Linked DNA regions of Macaca mulatta. The protein of the gene in region 1 purifies or fractionates together with the protein of each later gene. This does not show direct contact. Links are inferred from orthologs where the notes say so. Each region holds a gene or a part of one and is shown on either strand. Other genes may lie near its edges.

Region 1 (4,401 bases):
CAGGCTGGGATTGTGATGGATCCTACTGGATTTTACAGCTGGAGCTCCCAGGAATGCCCTCATAGGGAATGTCCTGAAGGGAATCATGGGTAACTTGTAAGCTACCTCAACTTATTTTTGGAACTATGTAAGATATAAGATGGATGGAGCTGGGTTGCTGTGCCTTTCTCGCCTTGTCCGCATAGAGATGCAGCTGCTCCTGCAGGCCAAAGTTCTGCACGAATCACCTCCACCTGCTTCCCACTGGGAGACAAAGGTCTGAGAGCCTGTTTAGCGATGAACCACGATGATCTTTTTTTTTTTTTTTTTTTGAGACGGAGTCTCGCTGTGTCGCCCAGGCTGGAGTGCAGTGGCCGGATCTCAGCTCACTGCAAGCTCCGCCTCCCGGGTTTACGCCATTCTCCTGCCTCAGCCTCCCGAGTAGCTGGGACTACAGGCGCCCACCACCTCGCCCGGCTACTTTTTTTTTGTATTTTTTTTTTTTTTTTTTTTTTTTTTTTTTTTTTGAGACGGAGTCTCGCTGTGTCGCCCAGGCTGGAGTGCAGTGGCGCGATCTCGGCTCACTGCAAGCTCCGCCTCCCGGGTTCACGCCATTCTCCTGCCTCAGCCTCCGAGTAGCTGGGACTACAGGCGCCCGCCACCACGCCCGGCTAGTTTTTTGTATTTTTAGTAGAGACGGGGTTTCACCGTGTTAGCCAGGATGGTCTCGATCTCCTGACCTCGTGATCCACCCGCCTCGGCCTCCCAAAGTGCTGGGATTACAGGCTTGAGCCACCGCGCCCGGCTGTATTTTTTAGTAGAGACGGGGTTTCACCGTGTTAGCCAGGATGGTCTCAATCTCCTGACCTCGTGATCCGCCCGTCTCCGCCTCCCAAAGTGCTGGGATTACAGCCTTGAGCCACCGCGCCCGGCCTACGATGATCTTATACTCAAGTCACTCCTGAGAAAGTCGGGTTTCTTTCTGTTTCCATTTCTATATGTAATTTTCGCTTCAAACAAAAATGACCTCGCTATTCCATACACAGTTTTGAATCCTGCTTTTAAAATGCGATGTCTGCCTTGTCTTTAAATATTCTGAGGGGGAGGAGAGGACATGTGTAACAGGACTGTCTATAATTTGAAACTGGACCTCACCATTTAGCGTCTCAGAAACGCGGGGTTCATTGCCCTGGCCGCTCCCCGCCTTCCCTCCGCCCCCCACCCCTCCCCGAGCCTTCGGCTGGCTCTCGCGGTCCCCGCCTCGGCGATAATGTAGTCTGGCGGCGGAGATTGGCGCCCAGGCGGAGCACGGTGGCCTTCCCCGCGGCAGGCAGGCTGCTGCTGCAGGTGGGTCCCGGCTTCCGTGCCGCCCCCCGCCTCCCGCGTCGCCACGCCCCTGCCCGCCCGCTCGGCTCCGCTCCGCTCGCATTGGCTCTGCGGGCTGTCTGTCCCCGCGCGGTGGGGAGGGGGCGCACCCGGCGGCGGGCTCTGCAGAGGGCGCCTTGCTTCGGCTCCCTGGAGGCCTGGGCGCCGGGCCCCGCGAGCGCGCCGCCACCTTGGGAACAGTGTTGGCCAAGGACCCCGACGCCCTACGTGAGTAAAGGCAGGGCGGGGAGCCTGCTGGAGAGGAGGGTCGGGGGCAGTGTCCGGTCAGCGGACCGCGGAGTGGGCAAGAGGCGCCCACTGGACATGGGGGATGTGAGCCCCCTGAGGTGCTGGGAGTAAGAACGCGGGAGGTCGCTTGTCCGCAGGAATCCGCGGCCAGGACGACCCTCATCAGGTCTGCCCACCTATCACCTTCGCGTTACAGCTTGTCTTAGAAGCATGGGTTGCCGGTGGCTTTTTTCCTTCTTTATCCCTCTTTGCGAAATGTGATTCTGGGTTTCTGGCCATTACATTATAATTCTGCAGACAGCTTGAAGCTGGGTTATCTGTTCCACGCCCCCGGCATTTTCCTTTTTGAGTACTTTATCCTGCGCTCTGTCTCCTGCCATAAGGGGCGTCAAGCTAGAATTCGAGATTCCTTCCTCCAGGAGGAACCTTCGTGGTCCATATCTGGTGCTGGGAAAGATGCATTGCTTTCCTCGGGTAGTGGATGTTCTTTGCTGCTTAAGGGAAAAAGGAAAGGGAGTGTTTTCTGTGACATGAGACTTGAAATTCTATCAGGAAATGAGCACAGGGACTTTAAGATTTCCTGAGGCGATAAAGCTACCCTTGCTGGTTAAGAGCGAATCCTTTGCAGTCTGACATTCTGCAAAGTTTTAATGTCTACAGACTGCATTATTTTCCCCCTTCAGTTAAGTTTCTGTTTGGGCATTCGTTTTATTTCTAGTGTGTGAGACACATTCAAGTGAGCTTCTCAAACCATTGTCTTTGCGCAATCCACGTTAGTTTCAAATGATACACTCCTGAACATCTCATTTCAATATTTCTATTATGTGGTAATACAGCCTCTGCTTAACAAAAGTGCTCAGGTGTTGAAAACTCACAAGAGGTGAGAAGATTTAAACAGAGTTATCAGCTGAGGTTCTAGTGCTCACTGAAATATAAATGTGAGGAGAAACACTGTCAAATGTCCATATTTTAGTTCCGTCATTGTTCTAGAATGACTTTATCTTTCTGTTAGAGGCATACAGTATGAAACACCCAACCTAAGAGAATATTTACTTAGATCATAAACTGATTTTCAGGGTTCCAGTTCTTTCCACAGTTCATAAAATTATGGGTTACCCACATGAAACTTCAGTGAAGGATTTACATAAAAACAATATAAAGAATGAGTCCCTTTGCTTATTTTAGGGCATCCACCCACTAAAATTCATAGGATCTTTGTTAGATAATCACTTCCCATTTCCATTCTTTGGTACCATCATACCATTCTGAGGATTAAATTTTCAATACACCTTTGTATTATCTAACAGTTTGCCAATTGCATAGTTTATCAACCTATTTTTGGCTGTTAAATTAGTTCCTGAACCGAAAAAGCAAAATATAAAGAATTTCTTTTTTTTTTTTTTTTTGAGACTGAATCTGGCTCTGTCGCCCAGGCTGGAGTGCAGTGGCCGGATCTCAGCTCACTGCAAGCTCCGCCTCCCGGGTTTACGCCATTCTCCTGCCTCAGCCTCCGGAGTAGCTGGGACCACAGGCGCCCGCCACCTCGCCCGGCTAGTTTTTTGTATTTTTTAGTAGAGACGGGGTTTCACCGTGTTAGCCAGGATGGTCTCGATCTCCTGACCTTGTGATCCGCCCGTCTCAGCCTCCCAAAGTGCTGGGATTACAGGCTTGAGCCACCGTGCCCGGCTTAAAGAATTTCAAAAGCTTGGTTTTCAAATAACAAGAACTCAGACTACTCTTGGTTCAATTATGAGTTGATAAGTGCCTTGTGATTAAATGACCATTAATCAATTTTTAAATTTTTTTACTAATGAATATACTGCAGATTAGTATCCCCAAACAATCCATTTTCTGATGAAACTCTTAAAGCCCAGTTTCAGAACATAAGCTTTAAGCAACAAGCAATCTTTTGTTTAATCTGAGCTCTGTTACAGCTCTGCCTTAATCTCAGCCAAATTGCTTCATCTGTAGATGGTGATACCACCATCTTTGTAATACTGTGGTGAGGATTACAGATGTATGTAAAAGTGTGTGCACCGCCTAATACCCAAGAATTGCTCAATAAATGTCAGCTATTGTTACTCTTACTGACCTCCAACTATGTGCAGATTATGGTGGAAACATGTGATACAGCAAATACAGTACTTAAATGAAAATGTCAAAATTATACAACTAATTTAAGAGTGGGAAATGACAGTAATGCTAAATTTTCCTAAGAATATGTATGAAAAGTAGCACTTCCTTGATGGAACATACATTTTTAGAACAGAAACCTTATGTTATAATGGAAAAACTAGAGAGTCAAAGTCTCTAGTTCTAACTCTGGCTATGACCTTATCTAGCTGCATGGCTTTTAACAAGACAATTGCTCCCCTCTGGAGTTCAGTTTTGTCATCTGGCTGGATTTGAGTAATCTCAAATAATCTCTAAAGTCCTTTGCAGCTTTAAAATTATTTATTGAGTGTGATAAAAAATACATTAGCTTGTTTTTCATCCTGCACTTCATTTTTTGTTCTTCCTGTTGTTTGCTTAATTTGCACTTTAGAGCCATAAGCAATTCACACAGACAACACAACTAAAGAACTAATAATATCAGACTTGCAGGGTAATCCAAAATGAAGTTTCAACAAAGAGGATAAAACAATAGAACCACATTGAACTCTTTAATAGGGCCAAAGTAAACCCCAACGTTTATTCTCCAGTCATTTCATTATTATATGGAAAATATGCCTGGTAGAATCTTATACATTCAGCTGAAATAGTCTCCATAGAAAATAATAGGCTCATAGTGAAATAAAATACCACTTT
Region 2 (3,646 bases), on another chromosome or scaffold:
GAGGCACAGCAGGAACAAGAAGTCGTTTCTTGCAACTATTAACTCCAGTGATGACTTGCATACAAGGCTATGGGCTCAGAGTGTATGGGGAAAACTTTCAAGAAGAGTCGAGCTGCACTTTAAAGAATGGAAGAGCCTTAGCTATGCAGAAAGAGAGGAGAGAAAAAGTTTGTCATAAGCATGAATATTTCAGAAGTCTCTGAACCCCAGCAGAGATGCCTTCAGCAGCAGCGGCAGCAGCAGCAACTGAGAATACAAGTTCTAGAGTCCAGTAGACCTGAGATGGAATTGCCCCATCCCATGCCTCAATGTGACCTTGGAAGAGCTGTTTAACCCTTCCAAGCCTCAGTTTCCCCTTCTCTGAAATGGAAATCATCATAGCACTTGCCTTAAGAGCAATGGTTCTTAAAGGGGACCCCTTTCCAGCATCACCGTTGCTGGGGAATTTGTTAGAAATGCAGATTATTGGGCCAGGCACGGTAGCTCACAGCTGTAATCCCAACACCTTGGGAGGCCGACGCAGGTGGATCACCTGAGGTCAGGAGTTCAAGACCAGCCTGACCAATATGGTGAAACCCTGTCTCTACTAAAAATACAAAAATTAGCCAGGTGTCGTGGCGTGAGCCTGTGATCCCAGCTACTTAGGAGGCTGAGACAGGAGAATTCCTTGAACCCAGGAGGCGGAGATTGCAGTGAGTCCAGATCGCACCACTGCACTCCAGCCTGGGCTACAGAATGAGACTTTTTTTTTTTTTTTTTTTAATGCAGATTCTTGCTGGGTGCGGTGGCTCACGCCTATAATCCCAGTACTTTGGGAGGCCAAAGCAGGAGGATCGGTTGAGCCTAAGAGTTCTAGACCAGCCTGGGCAATATAGTGAGACCCTGTCTCTACAAAAACTTAAAATAACTAGCTCTTGAATTTTTAAAGTTTTTAAAGAAATGCAGATTCTCAGGCCACAGTATCACTTCCTAAATTGGAAACTGTAGTGTAGGCTCAAGGAGCTGTTTTACAGGATGCCAGCAGGCACTCAGCTTTGGAGGCCCCCACCCAGTAGGACTGTTGGATGGAGAAAGAAGCCTCATGGGCTCCCCAAGTTCCAGACCAGCTTCCCACCCTGTCCTTGTACCCCTTCCTCCAGGTGCGGTTCCCTTCCCACTTCAGCTCTGACTTGAAGGACCTGCTGCGGAACCTCCTGCAGGTAGATCTTACCAAGCGCTTTGGGAACCTCAAGAATGGGGTCAATGATATCAAGAACCACAAGTGGTTTGCCACGACTGACTGGATCGCCATCTACCAGAGGAAGGTGGGTCTCCCCTCCTTAAGCTGCTGAGGGTTTGGGAGCAAGCCGCGAGTCAGGGAGGACAGCCAATAGAGAGAAAGAGAAGAGAACACAGGTTCAGGAGCAACCTAGAGTAGAGAGCTTAGAGCAGTGGGGTCTAGAAATGGGATTCTGGGGTCATTTGGCCATTCCATGACCTTGTGCAGCAGATGCCTCTCTGGGAAATAATTTCCCCTTTGATGAGTTGGCTACATTAAGAGTTTCAGGCTGTTAAGAGGAATCCATAACCTAATGGGAAGCACAGGCCTGAGTCAGAGTAAATATCTCTTGAATGTTAGGCCATTCGCATTTATTGTTGTAATAATGATTATGTTGAATGCTGAGGTCTGGGTGATTCTTGATCCCTCTCCAGGTGGAAGCTCCCTTCATACCAAAGTTTAAAGGCCCTGGGGATACGAGTAACTTTGACGACTATGAGGAAGAAGAAATCCGGGTCTCCATCAATGAGAAGTGTGGCAAGGAGTTTTCTGAGTTTTAGGGGTGTGCCTGTGCCCCCATGGATTTTCTTTTCTTTTTTTTTTTTTTTTTTTTTGGTGGGGGGGTGGGAGGGTTGGATTGAACAGCCAGAGGGCCCCAGAGTTCCTTGCATCTAATTTCACCCCCACCCCACCCTCCAGGGTTAGGGGGAGCAGGAAGCCCAGATAATCAGAGGGACAGAAATATCAGCTGCTCCCCCTCATCCCCTTTGCCCTCCTGCCCCCTCCCCCACTTTTCCCTTCCTCCTTCCCCACAGTCCCCCAGCCCCTCAGCCCCACCCAGCCTACTTCTGCCTGTTTTAAACGAGTTTCTCAACTCCAGTCAGACCAGGTCTTGCTGGTGTATCCAGGGACAGGGTGTGGAAAGAGGGGCTCACACTTAACTCCATCCCCCACCCACACCCCCATCCCACCCAACCACAGGCCCCACTTGCTAAGGGCAAATGAACGAAGCGCCAACCTTCCTTTCGGAGTAATCCTGACTGGGAAGGAGAGATTTTTAGTGACATGTTCAGTGGGCTGCTTGCTAGAATTTTTTTTTAAAAAACAACAATTTAAAATCTTATTTAAGTTCCACCAGTGCCTCCCTCCTTCCTGTACTCCCACCCCTCCCATGTCCCCCCATTCCCCAAATCCATTTTAAAGAGAAGCAGACTGACTTTGGAAAGGGAGGCGCTGGGGTTTGAACCTCCCCGCTGCTAATCTCCCCTGGGCCCCTCCCCGGGGAATCCTCTGCCAATCCTGCGAGGGTCTAGGCCCCTTTAGGAAGCCTCCGCTCTCTTCTTCCCCAATAGACCTGTCTTCACACTTGGGCTTTGAGAGCCAGACAAAGCAGCTGCCCCTCTCCCTGCCAAAGAGGAGTCATCCCCCAAAAAGACAGAGGGGGAGCCCCAAGCCCAAGTCTTTCCTCCCAACAGCGTTTCCCCCAACTCCTTAATTTTATTCTCCCCTAGATTTTAATGTCCAGTCTTCCCTCAGCTGAATGGGAAGGGCATCCCTGCAAAAGGGAACAGAAGAGGCCAAGTCCCCCAACGCCATGGCCCGGGGTTCAAGGCTAGAGCTGCTGGGGAGGGGCTGCCTGTTTTACTCACCCACCAGCTTCCGCCTCCCCCATCCTGGGCGCCCCTCCTCCAGCTTAGCTGTCAGCTGTCCATCACCTCTCCCCCACTGTCTCATTTGTGCTTTTTTCTCTCGTAATAGAAAAGTGGGGAGCCGCTGGGGAGCCACCCTATTCATCCCCATATTTCCCCCTCTCATAACTTCTCTCCATCCCAGGAGGAGTTCTCAGGCCTGGGGTGGGGCCCCGGGTGGGTGCGGGGGCGATTCAACCTGTGTGCTGCGAAGGACGAGACTTCCTCTTGAACAGTGTGCTGTTGTAAACATATTTGAAAACTATTACCAATAAAGTTTTGTTTAAAAAAAAAGTGTCGCTGGTGTTCTCGACTTCGATCACCCACCCACACACCCCCAGGGGGTTGGAAAGGGAATTTCGGACCCCAGAGTGCAAGCCGATCAGGTCCCGGCTTGAAGTCCTTGTAAACAGGGTTTAGCTGAAATTCCGGCACTCCTTCGGCCCCGCAGGAGAAACGAGCGTCAAACTGCCCTCTGACCCCAGATTCGGGATCCCCAAATCTGCAGCGCGCCCCCTCGGCGTCCAGCCCGGGACCGAGAGGGCGCTCTAGGGAGGCGCTGGGGCCGGCGCGCCAGAAGGCCGAGCGGCAGCGGGGGCGGCCCTGGCAGGGGGAGTAGAAGGGGGAGAGGGTGCGCGCCCCCCTCCCCTCATCCTTAGCGCCGGGCCAGGCGCGCCTGAGGGACGCGGGGGCGGCGGCA

The links.
Region 2: the proteins of AKAP5 (region 1) and PRKACA purify together in Homo sapiens (affinity purification with mass spectrometry; 6 studies listed by BioGRID and IntAct, with this or other methods). This does not show direct contact. The link is inferred for Macaca mulatta from reciprocal best matches to the Homo sapiens genes AKAP5 and PRKACA.

The regions. Positions count from the first base shown.
Region 1 is NC_133412.1:137,558,522-137,562,922, forward strand, and holds the start of AKAP5 (A-kinase anchor protein 5), read left to right. Parts: upstream 1-1,471; 5' UTR 1,472-1,572; intron 1,573-4,401. UniProt on the Homo sapiens protein: Multivalent scaffold protein that anchors the cAMP-dependent protein kinase/PKA to cytoskeletal and/or organelle-associated proteins, targeting the signal carried by cAMP to specific intracellular effectors.
Region 2 is NC_133424.1:14,678,807-14,682,452, reverse strand, and holds the end of PRKACA (cAMP-dependent protein kinase catalytic subunit alpha), read left to right. Parts: intron 1-1,139; coding exon 1,140-1,304; intron 1,305-1,692; coding exon 1,693-1,818; 3' UTR 1,819-3,240; downstream 3,241-3,646.